Linked DNA regions of Alligator mississippiensis. The protein of the gene in region 2 interacts with the protein of the main gene of each other region in a pairwise test. Links are inferred from orthologs where the notes say so. Each region holds a gene or a part of one and is shown on either strand. Other genes may lie near its edges.

The links.
Region 1: the proteins of MAPK9 (region 2) and SHMT1 interact in binary tests that used the Homo sapiens proteins (3 or more experiments, as listed by UniProt). The two-hybrid records come from large-scale screens. The link is inferred for Alligator mississippiensis from reciprocal best matches to the Homo sapiens genes MAPK9 and SHMT1.

The regions. Positions count from the first base shown.
Region 1 is NC_081836.1:55,108,805-55,118,977, reverse strand, and holds the start of SHMT1 (serine hydroxymethyltransferase, cytosolic), read left to right. Parts: upstream 1-5,179; 5' UTR 5,180-5,260; intron 5,261-7,789; 5' UTR 7,790-7,818; coding exon 7,819-7,920; intron 7,921-8,869; coding exon 8,870-9,015; intron 9,016-9,206; coding exon 9,207-9,322; intron 9,323-9,578; coding exon 9,579-9,739; intron 9,740-10,173. Other genes in the region: chemerin-like receptor 1, read right to left, coding at 613-1,701. UniProt on the Homo sapiens protein: Interconversion of serine and glycine.
Region 2 is NC_081832.1:73,861,819-73,872,286, reverse strand, and holds the start of MAPK9 (mitogen-activated protein kinase 9), read left to right. Parts: upstream 1-6,362; 5' UTR 6,363-6,463; intron 6,464-6,929; 5' UTR 6,930-7,070; intron 7,071-8,265; 5' UTR 8,266-8,445; exon of another isoform or gene 8,446-8,527; intron 8,528-10,468. Other genes in the region: GFPT2 (glutamine--fructose-6-phosphate aminotransferase [isomerizing] 2), read left to right, coding at 139-306, 860-1,021, 1,677-1,721. UniProt on the Homo sapiens protein: Serine/threonine-protein kinase involved in various processes such as cell proliferation, differentiation, migration, transformation and programmed cell death.

The DNA of each region.
Region 1 (10,173 bases), on a different chromosome or scaffold from region 2:
GCACTGAATTGCTCAGATCTCAGTACTAGCAAAGGAAACTCTGAAATGGCCTCTCTATCTTTTAAATATTTTGCTAAATGAATATTGGGTTTTCCAAAGAGAAAACTGTGGCAGGGCAAGGCCGTAAAAAAAGACGTGATTCATCTTCAGGTAGAAGCAGGCATGGCTGACTCTGAGCCACCTTCGGTGCTAGGGTTTCCAGTTGAACAGTGAGCAGAGAGGCCAAAACAGAGTAACTTACACTCATCTGCTCCTCAGAGGGGATGTGAAACAGGAACGGTTCCGGTGACAGAGGGTGACTGGCACAACAAGAGGACTGACAAAGGGAAAAGTGAAAAAAACCCAAGCTGATAGCATGCAAAGGCCAGCATGTGAAAGTAGGTACTTTGACAGCCCTGTGCCACCCCCATCCAGCTGTTTTACATCCCTGGTACGTGAAGACACACTAGGTTCTGCACTCATCTCAAAAGCTGAATCACACCCCTTAACAACTCACAGCTCATTTCTGTCTTCAGGTCCACAAGCTTAGCACTGACGGGAAGCAGGAGCAACTGTAGTTGTGTAACAGCAGACAGAACTGGGCCCCTTGCGACTTGCTATAGGAGCTACTAACTAAACCCCTGGGAGCTCTGCCTCTGAAGCAGACCTGGATTTTCTTTTGCTAGCCAGGCTGGCCAGGACAGAGTCCTCACTGAAGGCCCCCTCAAAGGCAGAGAGGATGGACTGTTGAAATGTCTCCCTGAAATCCTGCCCCATAAAGACATACAGGATTGGATTGATGCAGCTGTTGAAGAAGGCAAGGCTGGAGGCCAGGGGGAAGCCGATGTAGAGGGCCATCTTCAGCTCATGACTGGAAGAGTGTTTGGACATTTCCATCATGGAGAAGACATGGTATGGGAAATAGCAGAGGAAGAAAGACACAGTGACGGCAATGATGATCCGGATAGGCTTTGTGGACCTCACTAAACGTCTCCTTTTCAACCTGATAGCAAAGATGGTGTAGCAGATGAGGATCACCATGAAGGGGATGAGGAACCCACACAGGAATCTGGTTACAATCATCGCTTCGTGCCTCATTCTCCACAGCCTCTGTGCTGCCTCCGAGTTATAATCATCAGACAGGGCAAAGTTATTGTAGCAGCTGGTGATGTTCTTGGAATGAATAGCTGTGTCTCGAAAAACAAGATACGGAGAGCTCATGATGAGGGCAAGGACCCATGTCACCAGGGCAATGTTGGAAGCCAATTTGGGTGTCCTGTAGTTGTGAGACCACACAGGGAAGACAAGTGAAACGCACCGATCCATGCTGATGACTGTGAGAAGGAAGACGCTAGCAAACATGTTGAGGAAGGCAATGGTGCTGTTTAATTTGCACAGGAGCTTCCCAAAGGGCCAGTGGAAGCCCAGAGCAGTGTAGACAATGCTGAAGGGCAGGAAAAAAGTGAAGATGAAATCGGCCACAGCCAGGTTCAGAAACCACACGGCATTCACTGTCTTCTTCATCCGGAAGCCAGCGATCCAGATGACGAGGCCATTTCCTGTCACCCCCAGCAGACACGCAATGCTGTAGACCACCATGGACAGGATATGCATGCTCTTTTGAAGGCTGGAATAGTAATCTTTGTGTTCAGAGGCGTTCTCATACCGAGCGGTGGAGATGACAGAGATGGGTGAGGGGGAGGAGATGTTCTCCATCACCATTCACGATCTGGGCTCCTGAAATTATACGTGCATATTCCTGCTATTAATTTAATCTGCGGTAGCTGCCACATCAGGATCTCAAAAAGACTTTGTCAAGGTAGCCAACTATGATTAGATTGCCCTTACCACTGTGGAAAGTGAGGCACAGAGTGTACAAGGAACTTAGCCAAGATCCCCTTGAGTCAGTGCCACTGAGAGCAGAGAGGAGCCATGTGGGAATATTTCAGGATAGAATCTGGCTGTAAGCAAGTCATGGAATTGGTACCTGACTTTGTCCAGCTCTATACATAACACACAGAAACCGAAGTGTAGCCACCGTTGGGGCAACTTGGAATTCCCCTACTATAAACAGAACGCTTGGGATCCATCAAGGTACTACCCATCAAACACATCAGATATGGGCTAACTGGGAAATACCCCCCTGCCCTGACCTCTCAGTTGGAGAAGCCCCACTGTGGCTATTCAGTGCAACTAAAGGCACTGGAGTCTGGTGCTCAAAGACCCCACTACCTACTTCAGAAATTTGCCTTTTAAGATATGTCTTTCATTTTGAAGGATAACACACTATAACAGAGCATGGCCAACACCTTACCCACATATCCATCTCTTAAATCCTCCCAATCTCCTGCTTTTCTCACCACCTCCTAGCCTGGATTTCTAACACTGAGATCAAACGAGAGGTACTCACCACAGCTTTGTATTTCTTGTTTCTCTGCTTCTGGGCACTGGAAGTGGTGGAACCTCCTCTTATTGTCTGGAAGTGTTCGAGACAATGAGCATCTCTGCAAGTGATTCACGGTAGGTTGTATTGTCTTTCCATGGTCTGAGCTCATGGGGAATTTAACAGGATCATTTATTCCACGGTGTTGTTCCTCAATTTGTATTATGTGGAATTTAACTCTTTGGCATCGCTGTTCATCTGCACTGTGTTCTTAACTCATGTTGGCTAAATTGAGTTAGCTAATGCAACTTAAAAAAGCCATAAAGACACATTAACTGGGGTTTTACCTGGGTTGAGAGTTTGAATTCAATACCAGGCTGCTAGTCTGAAGTAAAACCAAAGTTACCTTGTCTTCACACTGCTATTATAACTGAAGCTAACTCAGTTCAATCATCTTGAGCGTAGGCAGGCCCTTAATGTACAATACGAAGGCAGTCATTTTGGCTGTAGGGTGAAAGTCATCTCAAAGGTATAACACCACGGGAAGTGTCAAGTGACACAAACCCATTCGGACGTAGGGATGAGAAGGGCAGTGGTACACAGGTGAGATGATGGAGAAGAATCCCGGCCTGAGAAATGCTCTCTCAAGGGCTTCTCACACACGAGAGTGGATCACTTTGGTGCTTTCTTCCACACTGGCTCTCAATCGCCAGCCCATCAGTGAGTCTGGAACAGCAGCCACATGTTACAGTGACACTATTTTCAGCTTCATCACTAGGCCTCAGAGCTGATGTCCTCTTGAGATGAATGGGAACAGATCGGGCCTCACCCATGTCCTGACCTGCTAACATGTACGGGCTCTACTGGAAGCACTGATTTTAATTCTTAAACATGTGAGAAACGTTTGAAAGTTTCCAAGATTTTGGTTTCAACCCTGTTCCCACGGAAATCAATGGGAAGCACCTGACTTCTTCACAGCATCTATAGGAGCTATGGATCTCCATCCTTGCATATTCTCATTTACACCAGTATGATTTGGGGAGAAGGGGCCAAATCCTGCTGTTCTTACGTCAAATTATCTTTAAACTTAGTAGTCATTTGAAGAGACATTAGGAGCGGAGGATGTAGCCTTAAGAAGGGGAGTTACCAATATTTAGAGCAATACAAAGAGATATAACTGTACTGGGAAAAGTGTTGTTACATTAAGAAAAAGAAGATGCAACTAAATATTAGGAAACTTCATAACTGTAAGCCCTGTCAGCTCATAGTGTCTGGACAGGAGAGAGAGAAGCTGCAGTGCCAGGGAAGCATTTAATGGACTGACAAGCCAAAGAATGGCCAATGTGTCAGCGGTGGCAGCACACCCTCCATTCGATGATCTCTACCCCGGCTCATTGATGGGTCTTGAGGTGACTTTAAAGTCCAATCCTGGAGCCATAGACCCGTCTGCAGAAGTGGCAGGTCTTTCCACAAGGGAGAGTAGGCAGCAGGCTGGGATTTTCCCCTTTTCCTTCCTCCGCTCTCTCCTCTGCTTCAAGGGCAAGACGCTTTACCTCGAGATGGACTGCTCCCTAGTTGAGGCTGCAGGGCCATTGGAGTCCGTCAGCAGCCAGCTCCTCCCAGCTCTTGACGTTGGCATCCATTTTCTTGGGGCTTGCCTCCGTGTGTCCTTGTCGCATCTCCTCTGGCCACCATGAGATCTCAGGCCATTACTACAGGCTGTTGCCAACCCATCAATAAGGGGAAAATGCCTGTTTGGGGTAGGTGTAATATGCCCCCTTTGGTGCTTTCTTCCACACTGGCTCTCATTCGCCAGCTCATCAGTGAGTCTGGAACAGCAGCCACATGTTACAGCGACACTATTTTCAGTGAAGTTGAAATGTGCTTATGGTCTCCCCATAGTGTTGAGCTGTCCCCCTGTATCACGGATGGTTATTTCTCACCTCCTGATTCTTTAATCCTTGCTGAACAGTTATCTTCCTCCTGGTTTCATCTTTTGGATATGGGAGACTCTAGTCCCAGTCTCTCCTCCGCCAGGTAGATGCCACCAGCCACAGGAATGGGGACTAAAACCACAGAGACCAGGCAAGGCTCTAATTGGGGTGATTAATTAATGAATTAAGATGTCAGGTTGACCATAATACAGTAGACAATACTACCTGTTAATGCTGAGTGCTGGGGGGTGGTTAAATAACTTAGCACCACTAGGGTGCCAACAGCTTCAGGTAGAAGAGCGCCTTAGAGGGGGTCCTTGTCTTACCCCCGGCAGTGGAAATGCCCCAGACGGTGGTGAAAGGGAGGTGCACTGTACTCTAAGGCTGACTGGGCTCTTTAACCCTAGCCTAGGAGACCTGACAGACAGACAAATGGATGATCCTTTGCCTCTGCAGCCAAGCTGGTTCCACCTAGCGGCACCCACCGTCCCAGCCAGGCCGGGGGGGATGCTGGTGTCTCCACAGACGCTGCCCAGGCCTTGGTGCCCCGGAGAGGTCACTCCAGCTGGGCTCCATCTCTGCCCAGGCGGCGGCTGCCTGGCTGGGGGCACTTCCCGGGCCTGCCTGCTGCTGAAGGATCCAGTGGATCCCCCAGTGCTGCGAGCAGCAGCCCCTGGGGGAGCAACGGCCCGGCAGCGGAGGCTAGCGGCTGGAGGATGCGCTTCCCTCCGCACGGCCAAGGTCACAGGAAACCCCGCCACCACCCACGTGCTGCCCGTGGCGGGATGGAATCCAACCTGGGACACTCCCCCGGCTGTGATTGGCTCGGGCGGGCCGGGGCGCGGCCGAACTCTGCCCGCCCGGGAGCGGATTGGCTGGGGGAGGAAGTGGGAGAGTCTGAACGTTCCATCCTAGCGCGGGAGCCGCGGGCGGGCGAGCGAGCGACTGCGGGCGGCGGAGCGCGGTAAGTGCGGGGCGATCGCCCGGGACCCCTGGGCCGCCGGGTCTAGGGGGGTGCAGGTCTGCCCCGAGGGGGACTGGAGATCGCTGCTCGGGCCCGCAGCCATCCCTGCGGTCCTCTGGCCGGGCTCTGCTCCTCGGATCATAGGCAAGCCAGGCTGGAAGGGAGCTCACAGGGACAGACATCTAGCCCAGCCCCCTGGCTCCAGGCAGGATCACACCCGGCTGAAGCATCCCAGCCCAGCACCTGTGCCACCCGCCCTTGAGACCCGCCACGGATGGAGATGTCACAGGCCCAGCTCTGCAACCATGCCCCTCACCCTTGCAGCTGGGCTCTGGCGGGGAGAGGAAGCCGCGTCCGGTTTCCGCTGCCATCGAGAGCCATCTCCTTCCTTTTTCGAGAGACTCCCCAGAGACAAGAAACTGGTGGTCTCTTTGCCTTGGCGGGCTCTGATCATGGCATTGGCAGCTGGGCCCCAGGCCAAAGTGTAGGACACGGATCTCAGATGAGCAGCCTGGGGAGGCGGGTTACAGGGCGCTGCTTCCCAACGCTCAGGCAAGAGCTACTGCCAGAGCCTGGAGGCAGGATCTGAGGGAACCAGGGATAGGGATGATCCTGCCTTGAGCAGGGGCTCGGACTCGGCGACTCTGGCGGTCCCTTCCAGCCCGGCGTCTCTCTGATTCTGTGACCGGCTCCTTGCACAAGGGAGCCTCTCTTATTCCTGACCCTGCTCCGAGTAGATGGATGGGCTGATGGCCTGGGAGCCGGGAGATTCAATCCTGGTTCTGGCCAATTGGGACTTTTGGCAGTTCGCAGGACGTAGCTCTTTGCCTCCTTTCCCCATGAACAAAGTACCAAGAACAGACCTTTTTCCCCCACTGTAAAGCAGAGTTACCAGTGAGGAGGGCCATGGTAGAGGTGAGGATGAGGATGGTGGTTGATCTGATGTGGTAGGAGAAGGACTACCTGCCTGCGTGGATCGAGTCCGCTCCTATCCCAAGGGTCAGGCTCTGCTTTCCCCACACCCACAACATCCCTAACCCCTTTCTTGGGGCAGCTCCCCTTTTCTGACACTCAGCATTTGCAGCAACACAAGCAGGCTAAGGGGGACGGGGGGAGCTGGTCCAGCCAGCTGCCCCTCCCCGGAGCAGGATGGACTGTGGGTTGGACAGACGGCCTCCAAATGGACTTTAGCTGTTTGACCCACGCAAACACAGTGATTGCCTAACTAGCAGCGCACGGGGGTGCTGGCCTTGGGGAGTTAATCTTTGAAAGGCCTTTTTGTCTTTAAGGGAGATAGAGGCTGTTCTGTCCCCTCGTGAGTAAAATAACTTGTGCCGCCCATGCCTGATCTCCGCGGGGGTCACGCTGGTGGACTTCAGTCGGGATGCCGTTGATTGGGCTGGGTTGTTATTCAGGCTGAATACATGCAGATGGGCACAGATCCAACATATGGTTACACATGCGCTCCAGGCCTGATCCCACAAGCTGTGTGCTCTCGGAGCTGTGTCCTTCCGATTCAAGAAATCCTACGGGCCACAGTGGGATGAGATTTGTGTGCAAGGAGATGTTCAATGGGAGTCTGTTGCATTTAACACCCCTCTGAATGACAAGAGCTGTCTGGTGGATCCGAAGCAGTGGCTGTCCCTTTGAATATTGCCTCCATTTAAAAATCACACTTGTGTCTGAAAGGGAATGTACCAACTCCTAGCATTTCTATGAGATGTGGGAAAAAATCTTTTTTTCAGTCTGTTGCCTTTCTCCACAGGCAAAGTGTGGATAAAGACAGCTTTGCTCTTTTCCCCGTCGGTTGGGTGGGTTTTCCATGCAGCAACATCAGAGAGAAGTAACACAAATGAGAAAGCTTGACTGCTAATCACTACAGGGACAGCGGCAGGTGTAGGACCTGCATGTCTTTCTAAAGGTGGCTGAAGCTTGGTGTTTTCACCATCACACTGAGCCCAAACCCACTGCAGTCAGTTATTTCTATTGATTTGGGTTCAGAGCACAGCATCATGGAAAAATCAGGCTGGCAGGGTCCTTGGGAGGTCATTTAGCCCAAGCCCCTGCTCAAAGCAGGACCATCCCTGTCCAAACCAGCCCAGACTTGGGCTTTGTTTAACTTGCATGTGAAGACTTCCAGCGAAGGGATTCCACAACCATTTGCGCTAGCGCAACTAAGTCACCAAAATACAAAAAATCTTGCCAAGAAAAGTGGTACGGGAAAGAAAGTCTCTCCTTCCTACAGCCAACAGCCCTGGGCAGGCTCAAACCATCACCCTTTTGGTGAAGAGCGAGGCACTCTGATCTGCACCACAAAAACATGCTAGCAGAGGGCAGGTCCCATCCCGTCTTCTTACATTTACTGGGATTTTTCATTCTAACTCCTACTAAATTTCCTCCCGACTATACAGTGATTGCAGGCCGGGGGACAATCAAGCCAAAGATGCTTCCAGGAGGAGGAGGCAGAGAGACGCGTCTTCCCCAGCGGGCGCTTGTGTTCTATAAACTCTCCCACCCTCCTCATTTCAGAGTACATTGATGCCAGAGGGGACCTGGCCATGGCTACCCCAACCAACCTCAACGGCGAGCTCCCGAGTGCTGAAATCTGGCAGTCGCATAACAAGATGGTCCTGGAACCGCTCGATACCAATGACCCCGAGGTGAGCAGGCTGGCGTCCGCAGGGCAGGGAGGGGGTGGCGTGCTTTGGCGCTGGGTCATCATCTGCTTCATTCATCCGGCCAGCACAGGGACCCGTTCAACTGTGGGGTCACCAGCTTTCAGGACAGTGCGACTCAGGGCAGGGCGTTGGGCCGTCTGGGAGCTGCAGGTTCCCCCCTGCTTCTCCTTTTCAGGTTGTTGCTGCTTCGTCTGTCACTTGCCAGAAGGGGTGGAGGAGGATGGGGGCTGGTGGCTTTCCCCATGCCTGCCTCGGGGCTGTTGTGAGCCTGCTCAACTTGCGGTCCCCATGTGGTAGCCTCTAGCTGAGTCCATGCTGTGCCTTGCTCCATGACACCCAGAGGTGGTCCTTTCCTGTGGGAGGCATTGCCCTACTTGTCCCTCTCCTAGGTCTCAGTGGTCCAGCAGACCCTTTCCAGGCTCATGTTACTATTGAAGCAAGCCCATGTGCCTGGCATCCAGCCCTTGGCTATTACATGGATCAAACCAGGAGGGGATCCACCGACACGAGTGATGGAGACTCATTAGCTCTTTGGGTTCTTGCTTCCAGCCAGCACCTGCAAGCTCACGCATCCTCGAGCTACCCAAAGGACCCCACCCCACCTGTAAAAAATAAAAAGAAAGAAAGAAAGAAATGGCTGGACCCCTCCCCACCTCCCCACTCCCCCCATGCGGACTGCACATGCCACATGGCAGGAAAGCAGCTCTGTAGGGGCACTGCTCTGAGCCCCTCTGGTTCATCCACATAACCCTACGCAGAGTGTTGTCCACATCTCAAGCTCAGAGCCCTGGCAGAAAGAGGCCCTGCCTCTCCTCTCCTAGCTGTGACCTCTTTGTGTCTGTTCCCCATCACTCTTCTCCCCTGGGAGGGTACGTCTTGCCTCTGGGCACCCAATCCCCTGCCCAGAAGCTCCCCCTCATCTCTCTCCAAGGTGTTCAACATCATCAAGAAGGAGAAGCAGCGGCAGAGGCTGGGCTTGGAACTGATCGCCTCCGAGAACTTTGCCAGCCGGGCTGTGCTGGAGGCCCTGGGCTCCTGTCTGAACAACAAGTACTCGGAGGGGTACCCAGGGCAGAGGTATGGAGTGGGGCGTGTGTGGGGGCGCCTCTTGGCTCATGCTTCTTCAGGGCATGATCCCTGCTCAGCTGCTTGCCCAAGCCACTTCCCTTCAGAGCCCATGGTGGGCCAGGCCCTGCCCTTGGTACAAGGCAGAGCAGCTGGCCCTGCGGATCCCCTGTAGAGCTCCTGCCCTCTCCTCCGCGTGGCAGGTACTACGGCGGCACGGAGTGCGTGGACGAGCTGGAGAGGCTGTGTCAGAAGAGGGCACTGGAGGCCTACAACCTGGACCCCCAGAAGTGGGGTGTCAATGTCCAGCCCTACTCAGGTAATACCCCAGCTCCTTGCGTGCTGGCAGGGGGGAGAGAGCAATCCTGCCAATGCCTGGGGACCCCTGGCTTTCGTAACCCTGCCCTGCCAGCTTTCCCCAAGCCAGAGGCAGCTGGGGAAGGGGAGTGCCCAGCCTAGGCGGTGTTTAAAGCATGCAGTCATTTCAACCCCCTGCGCAGGGCTTAGCCCAGGCCTCACTTCTCTTCAGTGCAGCAGGATCCATGCCTGACTTGCTCACACTGCTCTTACTGCAGGGTCCCCAGCTAACTTTGCGGTATACACGGCACTGGTGGAGCCCCACGGCAGGATCATGGGCCTGGACCTGCCTGATGGGGGGCACCTGACCCATGGCTTCATGACTGAGAAGAAGAAGATCTCAGCCACCTCCATCTTCTTCGAGTCCATGCCCTACAAGGTGAGGGGCACCTGCTTCTGCCACTCCAGCCTGGCACAGCCACCACCTCTGGCTTCCTCAGGGCGGGGTTGGCATGGGCCTGGCGAGCCGTGCAGGACTGGGTTGCTGGCACGGGGCCTGTATTGTAACCAGCTTGGGGGGCACGTGACCCAGCTGCCAGCTGGGCAGTGGCATTCCTGACAGGCCACGGGACCCCTTTGGCTCCGAGGTCCTGTCCATCCCGTGCAGGGAGGCAGGACAGGATTAACGCCCCTGTGTTCCTTGCTCCCTCCTGCCATTGTGGGCAGGGGCTTACACCACGGGCTGATGTCCCGCAGCTGACCCAGCATGTGGCTCCCTAATGGGAGGCTCAAGGCTGGTCATGGGACTAGGCTGTGGGGGCCTGAGCTCGGGTGTGGGGCACTGCAGGGGGTGTGGAGACAGCATTAACCCCT
Region 2 (10,468 bases):
CAACTGCTGGAAAGAATTTATTAAAAAATATGAGCTTATTTCCATGTTTAAATAGCGGACACTTGGTATCTGTGTTTTGCCTTCTGAAGCTTTTATTTGGCACTTGGCATGAATGTAACTCTGGCATTTGCTTTCTAGAAAATCAAGGAAATCACATACATGCATTCTGAAGGTATCTTGGCTGGTGAACTGAAGCATGGGCCACTGGCCCTTATTGATAAGCAAATGCCTGTTATCATGGTAATTATGAAGGATCCCTGCTTCAACAAATGCCAGAATGCTTTGCAACAGATCACTGCTCGACAGGTAACTTGAACAACATCAGCTGGATAGAGGTTCTGCATGCTGAAATGCGTTGCTACTGACAGCACTTCAGAAACGCCGTGTCTTGGTGTTTGTCTAGTCCTCAAAGATGGCAAGTGCTCACCCTTTGATTATACCATAATATTAAAGATGGATGCCAGTGATGAGGACTGACCAATTAAAAATGCAGGTGGAATTATGTTGGTGATCTGCAGTGCTAGAAGTTCAAATTGTAAATACCATGTAACAAGCAAAAGGTCTTGTTTTCTCATAAATAGTAGGTAGGCATTGTCATCATCATTCTTACTATCTGTTTGAGTAAGCTCAAAATATATTGAATGCATTTGAAAGCTTAGCACCATGGGGCACTTACACACATACAGGGAGGCTGCTCTGTAATTCCAGCGTGTTGGAGCAGGCTCAATTTTAATTGAGTTTGCTGAAGCGTGGAAATTTTACCGCACTCCAGCGTCATGTGTATCGGCATCCCCATGCTGAAAAATGGTGGTGGGGTGCTTTAACCTAAGTAATCTTATTAGTAATATCTTATTTACAGGGTCGCCCAATCATTTTGTGTTCTAAAGAAGATACAGAAAGCTCAAAATATGCATACAAAACTATTGAGCTGCCACACACAGTTGACTGTCTCCAAGGGGTTCTGAGTGTTATTCCCCTCCAGCTGCTTTCATTCCACCTGGCTGTTCTCAGAGGATATGATGTAAGTGTCTTTTATCTTTAGGTACTCCAATTTGAACAGTTGGAGAAGCACTGCAGTGAACTTCCTTCTGCCTCCCACCAGCTTAATGCGAGAGGAATAGTTGCACAGAGTTTCTAGCAAGAGAATAGCTATATTCTAATTAGCTGAGCTAGAATTCTAGTAAAACCCCCTGAAAATATGTTTAGCTTCTTTTAACTGGGAAAATAAAACTAAATGTTCAGTAGTAAAACTGAATGAGAGCAGTACCTAGAATGAAGATTTCCCTCTATTTTTCAGTAAACAATATGAAAGTAGGAAGTAAAATTTACCCAAAGAAATTGTGACGCTTGTCTGATACTTTATTAACCAATGCTAAGTGTTTGAATAAGCTTAAGACTGATGCCTATGCTTTTGAGAGTTGTACCCTGTCATGGCAATTCATATTTTTGCAATCGAATTGCAAGGAAACTTCTAACGTTTGCAGATTTTAAAATCTCCAGCACTTTTTGCATGTCTAGGTTGTGTTTTGGCTAGCTAGGACAGATAAGGTGTGGAATTAATTCAGGGATGGGTGGTGGGGTGTGTGCACACGCATGTGCAGACAGGTTGAATCAATTAACAGATACAGAAAGTTGCTTTACTCAATCATGTACTGAAAATCTGTTCTTCATTCCAGGTGGATTTTCCAAGAAACCTGGCCAAATCTGTGACAGTGGAATAAACACCCTGCAACTTTTGTCACCAAACTTCTAAATTTGTATTCTACAAATGTATTGTTATTCATTGAGTACACAACTTTCTAAGTAGAATGATGATATTGTTAACTGGAAAGTGTTGAGGAAGGTTGGCTTGTTTGTTTTTTAACTTGTTCTGACACCCGTTTTTAAAAGCTTTTGATGTGCCTTGTACCCAAGTGCTTTTGCTTACAGCAAATGTTTCTCTAAATAACTAATATTGCCAAAAGAGAAAGAAAGGAAATCATTGTTTACACATGGTATAGTGAATGACGTTTTCTACTATTGTGCAATATATATATACAGCTCTGTTTTAGAGTAACTGTGAACACTTTTAGCCAACACTACTTTAACTAGTTTTAAAAACAATGTATTTATAAGTACAGTTGTATAGCTTTAAGTTATTATTTTTTTTAGTATGTTGCTCATCTGTAGCATTGTTTAATGCCCTGAATGTATATCCTGAGCATGGTAACATTTATTCATTTGTGTACAGGGTCATTGTTATGGTCTTGTATTTCAGCTTTGATCTGGAACTCTATGGGCACTTTTTTACATGTGCCCTGGGGGTGGGGGAGAGGCATCGCTTTAATTAAAGCGGCTCTGAGAGCCACTCTAATTAAAGCACAGCAGTGTCTTGTATATCAGTGGCCCTTGCACTTCAAAATGGCAGCGGGGGCACTTGAACTAAAGCTCATTGAATGAACTTCAGTTCAAATACCTCCACCACCTTTTTGAAGTGTGGGGACACTGCACGAGATGCAGGAAGCTGCTGGAGCGCAGTAATTACCATGCTCCGAGAGACTCCATTTAATCGAGTCTGCTCTGACACAGTGTAATTAGACAGGTTGGAGCAGCCTCTGCGCTTGTGTACAGACATCCTGTAGCTGTTTTTTCTTTCTCTTGGTCTCCTTTCTAACTGTTTTTTGCCATTTTCTGTTAACTATTTGTTACCTCAACTTCTTTGACGGAAATCTATTTGGAGATATTCAAACTTCAGCTTTATTTAACCAACCAACCAATCAACATTATTAACTCATTGAATTTTTTTACCACATACATAGTCCCAGTTTTGATTCATTTGACATGTAAAGTATAACAAAATAAGGCAATGGTATTTTCAAGTGGATTACTATACTTCTGTTGGAGATTGTACAATCAAATTACTATGCAATTAAAGAAAACGGATCATGTAAACTCTTATGTGCAATCTTTTACCAACTCCTTCCTCTTCCAGTTAACTATTCTTGAGTACAGTTGCATCTGACTCCACACGTGGAGTTTTCTTCACTGATGGGTTTTGTATCAGACAAAAAATGAAAGCACTTCATGAAGTTTGTGGAAAGGGAGGAATAGTTTTGGAAAAGGAGGAATAGTTTTGTGCTTAAGGCACCTGGTTAGGTTTCAAAATATGAATCCAAATCTCAGATGTGCTGCTGGATTTATGTGACATTGGGCAAAAAATCTCTGTGTCCTAAATGGGGACATTACAGATGGTCCTATTCTTTCTACTATCTTTCCTCTGCCACCTAGTAAGCTGCAAAACTCCTCTGGGGCAAGGACTGTCTTAAAATTTGTGTACTTGGTACAAAGGGAACCCCAGTCTGAACTTATTCCTTATTAATGTATACACATAATGTAGCCATAATATCTGTTTTGTACAAAAACTTGGCATCTTTATAACCTTTTTCTGTACTCCTTATCAATCTAAAAGCTACATCTTTTGGGTGCAGTAGTATCTCCTGCACACACTGAATTTTATAGATGTAGTTGAACTATTAACTCTGTATATTCTGTCTTCCTTTGAGTTGGCTGAGCTAAAAAGACATTTCGCACAATTTTTAAACAGGAAGGTACATTTTGTATTTCACCACTTATTATTTGTGGCCATAATAACACTTTTTATGCTTTTTGTGCCAAGCAAAACCTCACCAGAGATGAATACTTTTAAAACGGTTTGAACCTACCATCTCCTGGTTACGCTCGTGCTGATGAGCAGGATTTAGATCTAGCTTCTCTTGCTGGGAAAGGTCTAAAAGAGGATTTGTTTCTTGCTGGACATCCTGAAGAGCACAAAGCGTCTCTTCTCTAACAGTGACCGGTTTTGTATGCTTCAAAGAACAAAGAACTTTTAACCAACGGAGCTGGACAAGTGTCATATATGTACTGAATTACTGAGACTTTTTTTTGCCCTTACTGCTGATCATCTCCTTCCCCAAAGCAATGATGATCAGTGTGACATTGCAACTTTAATCTTACTGAGCATTGCTAATAATTTTAAGTGGTTAAATCAAAGATTTCAGAAGCCAAGACCAGAAGGGTGGTGTGACTTTCTTTTTTTCCCCTCTTCTTCCAAATTCTTCCTCCTATATTCAAAAGGTGGGGGAAAAGGCAGTGCACATGCACATGACTTACAGTGCATCATCTTTTGTTAAAATTTGCTCATTGCTTAAAGAAAAGTGAGTGGCTTCAATACAAAAGGCTGAACTTTAATAAAAGAAATGAAAAAACAGACTATGGATATATTTATCTGCAAAAAAAATTGCACTTCATGTGTACATTACGTGAACATATTTGTGGAGTAGCACCAAGAAGTCTATTGTAATACCCTGTCCCTTTTGAGGCTTATAAGTGAATTGCTCTAATGGTTTGTCATATTAAAACACTCACAAATTACCATCATTCTAGTTTTTGTAGGTGACTTAATGGTTCACACAAGTTCTTGAGTAGAAAACATTTTTTCCTTTATATAAATACAATATATTCCTCTGCAGGTTGGCTTTTAAATTGAGATGTTTGAATACTTACAATTTAATGGCTTTAAGTGCTGCAGTAGCTTTTTGTACTAGAGCAGTTTCTGATAGCTCCTTTTAAGGTGCTTCGCTTTCTTATAAAGAGGGCTTTGAAAGGTAAAAAAAACACAGTAAAATATGATATGCATCCCTGGCTGAAGCTGAGGTTGTCAGGGGCTAGTCGTGGAGAGGGCTGTTTCTTTGGAGCCACTAATTTTCTTGCCTTTTAATGAAATGCAGTACTAAGACTAGACTGTAAAGCAATGAAAGCAGATTATTTTTGTTTTTTAATTTATAACTTTTAAATTCAAGTAAGGAGAGAATAAATACATGGGGAAATCTTAAAGGAGAGAATAAATAGGAAATCCTAAGTAAGGAGAAAATAAATAAATGGGAAACCGTGCCCTACTTGGGTTTAAAGAATAGACTCAGTTCTTTTTTAAACAGGTAGCAAGCAAAAATAGTAGTTTTTGAGGTATAGGAAAAGAGAAGAAATGCATGGATGAGATGTTACTGAGATTTTTTGGATGGAGGAAGGAACAGCTGTGAGGGCACACACATTCCCTCCAAAGCTTTCGTGGCTCATTTATTCCTTCAAGCCACAAACAAGGATTACATTTTGCAAATAAAAATGGGAATTGGGGGTACAGCTTCTGAACTGGTGCTTCCTGGACCTTAAATGTTGGAGAGCGGCAAGAGGGAGAGGGGGAAAAACACCTTGGCAAGACCCAGTTTGCTCTCCCGTCCAGCGTTCGCTCCTTGCCATGGCATGCCGGGAGCCGCGGGGTGAGGGGGACCGGCGGTCTGATCCGCTTAATGGCAGTTCTTTTGTTTTTTCTCTTGTGAATTACAGAAAATATACAGTATCTATTATTAACTCCATTTTTTTTAAATGAGGGACAGGCGGGCGGACCAGGCAATGCCATTTTTTTCTTCCTGGTGGATGCATTGTGGTAAAGAAGAGAGGTTGAGGTCACCACCTCGGGCAGCGTCATTTGTAGCAGTCTCTTGGTTTTCAGAGACCGCATCTTGCGGTGCAGCGGCAGGCGGCTTCTTCACTGCCGCCCCCGTGTCACGGGGCCGCGTCCTCCTCCCGCCTCGCCTGGCAGCGCTTCCTGGGTGGAGCAGGGTGACGGCACCCGGGGGTTTTGGTGACAGCTGCTGACACTGCCTCGCCTCACCCTGGCAGTTGGATGGGGGGGGTGACATCACCTCAGCTGACAACGGTGATTTGCCGTGTAAATAGCCCATCATTTGGCAGTGCACTTAGGTGTGTGGTGACATCACCAAGCTGGGGGCAGTTTGACGTGGGTGATGACATCAAGCTGGGGGCAGTTTGACATGGGTGATGACATTAAGCTAGGGGCAGTTTGACATGGGATGACATCACTAAGCTGGGGGCAGTTTGAAGTGGAATAACATCACCAAGCTGGGGGCAGTTTGATGTGAGTGATGACATCACCGAGATGTGGCAGTTTGATATGGGCGATGACATCAAGCTGGGGGCAGTTTGACATGGGATGACATCACTAAACTGGGGGTAGGTTGATGTGGGATAACATCACCAAGCTGGGGAGAGTTTGATGTGGAATGACATCACCGAGCTGGGGGCAGTCTGACGTGAGATGACATCACCAAGATGGGGCGAGCGTGACGTGCGCTGCTCGGGCCCAGCCCGGCCCGGAGCCGCCCTGTCTCCACTGCAGTCCCCTCCCTTATATAGTGTCTTGAGGAGGTCCCGCCTCCAGCCGGATTGGCTGAGCGCGCCCGGCGCCGCGCGACGATTGGACGGCGCGCGCGCCCGTCAGCCGGTCTGGCCTGGCGCGGCCTGCGAGGGGCAGGGGAGCCATTGTGGCTGGGGCGGCCCTGCGAGCCGGAGGCGCCGAGCGGGCACCCGAGCGCCGCCCGCCCGCCCGGCCTGGCCAGGCCGCCGCACGGTGAGGCGCGGAGCGGGGAGGCCGCGGGGGGGCGGGGCCTGGCGCGAAGTTTCCCTCAGCCGCGGGGGTCGCCGCTGCCGCCCCTCCCCGGCCGCGGCCTGCAGCCCCCCGCGGGGCAATTCGCTCTGCGGCCCAAGGGGTTTGGGAGCCGCCCTCGCCGCTCCAGGCTGGCTGGGGCCTCGGGGCTCCTGGGGTGGACGCTGGCGCCCGTGCCTGGGGCTGGCGGAGGATGCTGCGGGCAGGCTGGTTTCCCTGCCTGGGCGACGGGGACCCGGGAGCCTGTCCTTCCCGGCCCGCGCCGCGGAGGAGACGGGCGCTCGGCTCGCCTGAGGGGCGACAGCCAGGTCCCCCCGCACCCGCCAGGCTGCAGGTGTAGGGAAGGGGGACCGGAGACGGCACGGCTCGTCTCGGGGACCTCGTCTGTTCCTTGATAAACTTAAAAGGTTTTGCTCCTTTTCCCTCTTAGCTGGACCCTCCACCTGGGACGTCGCCGTCACGTCCTTCCCCTGTGTCCCGAGCGGCGCGGGCAGCGCTTCTCAAACCGCAGTAGCCCACTTGTCTCCCATGTAAGCTGATGTGACGTGAAGATCTACAGGGATCCCATCTGGTTAGTCAGCAAGCGCCGCTTCAACCCTGCTGTTACGGGTCACGCGTGTACGCCGTCACGTGCTCGCGGCGTTTCGTTGTCCGTCTTTGCCGTGCGGTCCGTAAAAGTCCTCCGGTGATTGTCACCGGCGCTTGTCAAAACAAAAAGAAATGCAAAACTCTGCCACTCGCGGTTCAGAGATGATACCTTTCATTCGACCGACTAAGCAATCGCCCTCCCCCCCCCATAAGTCTTTTTCTGCAAGCTTTCGGGCGCGCACCCCGCTTCCTCCGGCTCGGGGAAAATTCAAGCTGGTAAAAAGTCCCCATGGGTAGGAAAGCAACTTCATTTTGCACGGAGGAAGCTGAAGGTGGGAGTGCGCTCCTCGGGGTGTCTTTGTGAGTTGCTCTTCGATGTGCAGATCAGGCAGGGATCCTTCCCTTGGGGTGTCACGTGGCAGAAAGGCAGGGAGGTGTAGAAATCTTTCTTATGTTCAGCAATGAAGCTTTACCTCCAAAATTAGCTAAAATTCGGCATCTTCCATGTAACACATCTCTGTCAAACAAAATGGCTTTCAAATGGGATCATCCGATCTTGTGCCTGTTTTTAATTTAGTAGTACAAGGCTGCCGGGTCAAAATAATGATCCTGCAGCTTTTTCAATTGATGAAGATGTGTTGCATTCTCATTGTAAAGGGGTTGTCGCTGCTGTCCATCCTTCGGAGGACGGATGCCTGTTTCCTGTTTGTGTGTTGGTCCTTTTTAGATGAAGTAATATCACGATACCAGGTGCTGAAAACCTTTTTCTGAAATTGAAGGTTTATTTCTAAATTCCAGAGGACTCCTTTATATCGACTGATGTGAAACATGATGTTCATACTGGCGTACGTGGCGTACGTGATACTGTAGTCAGGTTGTTGACTGATATTCCTTGGCTTTCATGGACCATAGTCGGAACAGAGGCCAGTTTCCCAAAGTCGGGCATTCAAAGGGGGATAGGTCCACAAGGGACTCGGGCATGTAAGTCGATATGCAGGCACCATCAGCATTTGCAAAAAAATTTTTTAACCATGCAAGTGGCTAAAGTGTCTAGCACAAGCGTAGTAGACAAGCACAAAAGTGCCTGTGTCTTGCTGTTGCCAAGCAGCTTGGTACCCCTGCGCAAAGAGAAACTAGGTGATTTCCCCACTGATTTTTTTTTTTTTGTTTTCCTGCAGGGCCTGAACCATTAGACAAGCTCAGAGCTTACCTGTCTTGCCCAGAAGTGTGCTTCTTCTTGTTCAATTGTCCAGTTACGTCCAGTATTCCTATGAGAGCCAGACACCTTGTTTGAATCCTTGTGCCCAGCGTGAAGCTGGATCTAGACCTCTGCTTTTGCACAGGAGGAGGCTCTAACTGTAAATATTTGAGGATTCTCTTTTCACAGCTGTTCTGCTTTGCGTAATGAATTAAACATTTATTTGGCCAAGGAGAGAAAAAGTGAGTACAGCTTCATAGCGCAGTGGTAAGGAGCAGTCATGAGACATGTGGGAGAGTTGGGCTCTGTGAGGGACTTCATATTCGTGCATATATAGTTGAGTAACTTCATTAGGAGATACTGAAAGAGTCTCACTCCAGAATATCAGATAACCTCGTGGTTAGGGTTAGGGTCCTCTAATTTGAGAGAACTGGCGTCCCGTTCCTGCACTGTATTGGCAGAACAGAATTTGAAAACAGCTCACATCTCTCAGGTGATTGTCCTATTTGGGAATGGGAGGTCTCTTGTATTTTTTGTAAGAAAGGGCTGACTTGGTACAAGCAGCTAACTCAGTGAGACAGTTCACAACCGAGACTCTTGCATGGAGATAGGTGCTTAACTGCTCTTGGCTTAGGTTCTGCCTGGTCCTAGCCTTTCCATTGTTACCAGTTTGCCACACAGCTTGCTTGTTTCTGTGAATTATTTTAGGTCTCTATCTTTCCCCATATATCGTATGGGGAACCTTGCCATAACTCAGGGCTGTGAATTAGCAGGGGTGCGAATTGGGGTGACTACCCCAGGCCCCACACTTTGGGGGGCCCCACAGAGCCAGGCTGGCTTCATGTCCGGCCGCTCTCCAGCATCTGGGCCCTGCACAGGCTGATTTGCCTGGGGCCTCACACCCTGCTAGGGTCGTCTCTGTTAAGGTGCTATATATTACAACACCCAAATCCCTGTGTGGATTTAGACCAAAGAAGAGTCTTTATCCTTGTTTCCAAATGACATTAATTTTAATATGGTTTTGTGCAATCAAACTCAGTTAGAATGAGCACTGCTAGATCAGATAGCCTCCTACTTCCTTTTTTTAAGTCTTGTCCTTAATACAAAAAATATATCCTCAACTCAAGGTAAAATCCTCCCCAAGAAAGGAAGCTTATGTTTTTTTCACCCACGTGAAAGTCAGGTTACCCTGCAGGGGAGTTTAGTCTCTAACTTGAGCTGTTTACTTATGTGAAAATGCTAAGCTGCCATTTTCTTCATGAGTATTAGCAACACTGAGTCTCCCCTGTGAAGACAAGGGCAAAGGAGGCTGTAGACTTTTCACTTCACTTCCTTCCCTTCCCTTCCCAAACATAGTTTTCATGTCCTGCATTGGGGAATTGCATAAAATAGCACAGCTGTCCCGTTCCTGTTACTCAGACAGTTGCTGTACTTAGGACATGCAGCTGTGATCTTTACTTTGCTCAATAACCCTTTCCTTACCCTGGCTCATCTTGCCAAGCAGGTGCTTAGGTCAGTTTCTTTACATATCTCAAAGGCCACGGAGATTTGAGCTGTCAGCATTTGCATGGGAAACCAGACCTGCAGCCCTGTGTTGTTAACTCTTTTACCCTTTAAGTAAAATAATGAAGATTTGGAGTGGAGTGGGTATAGGTTAAAACCTTGTCCTTCCTCTGGCCCTTGGGAGCATAGTGGCTGGAGAAAAAGGAGACTTGCATACCCCAACATATGGGCTGGGGTAGGCAGGGGTTTGTTAGCTTAGCTTCTTCCTTTTGCATTCATGTTACTGGTCAAGGAGAATAATAAGAAAAAGGTCTGTTGCCATTTCATCTGAAGTTTTAAGACTTTTTCTTTCTGTGGTCAATATTCTAGAACTATGACACATAATGGGGGGTTTATTTTGACAAGGGAAGGGTAAAAGGAGTATGAGAAGTCAGGTATCCTTTAAAGAAAACCCAAATATTTATGATTTTCACATAATGAGGTTTTTTTTTTTCATAGAACATTGACCATAATTAAGCCTCACATTGGACTGTCAGGTAGCTGTAGTCATAGGTCTTGCAAGAAATAAGGCCTTTTTATATTGATCAACAGCAAAAGAAATGAATCTAAGAATTCAACAGCGGGCTTTGATTTTTGGTTTCTTTTTTCTTGTTTGCTTTTTCCTTTTATTATTTGTTATT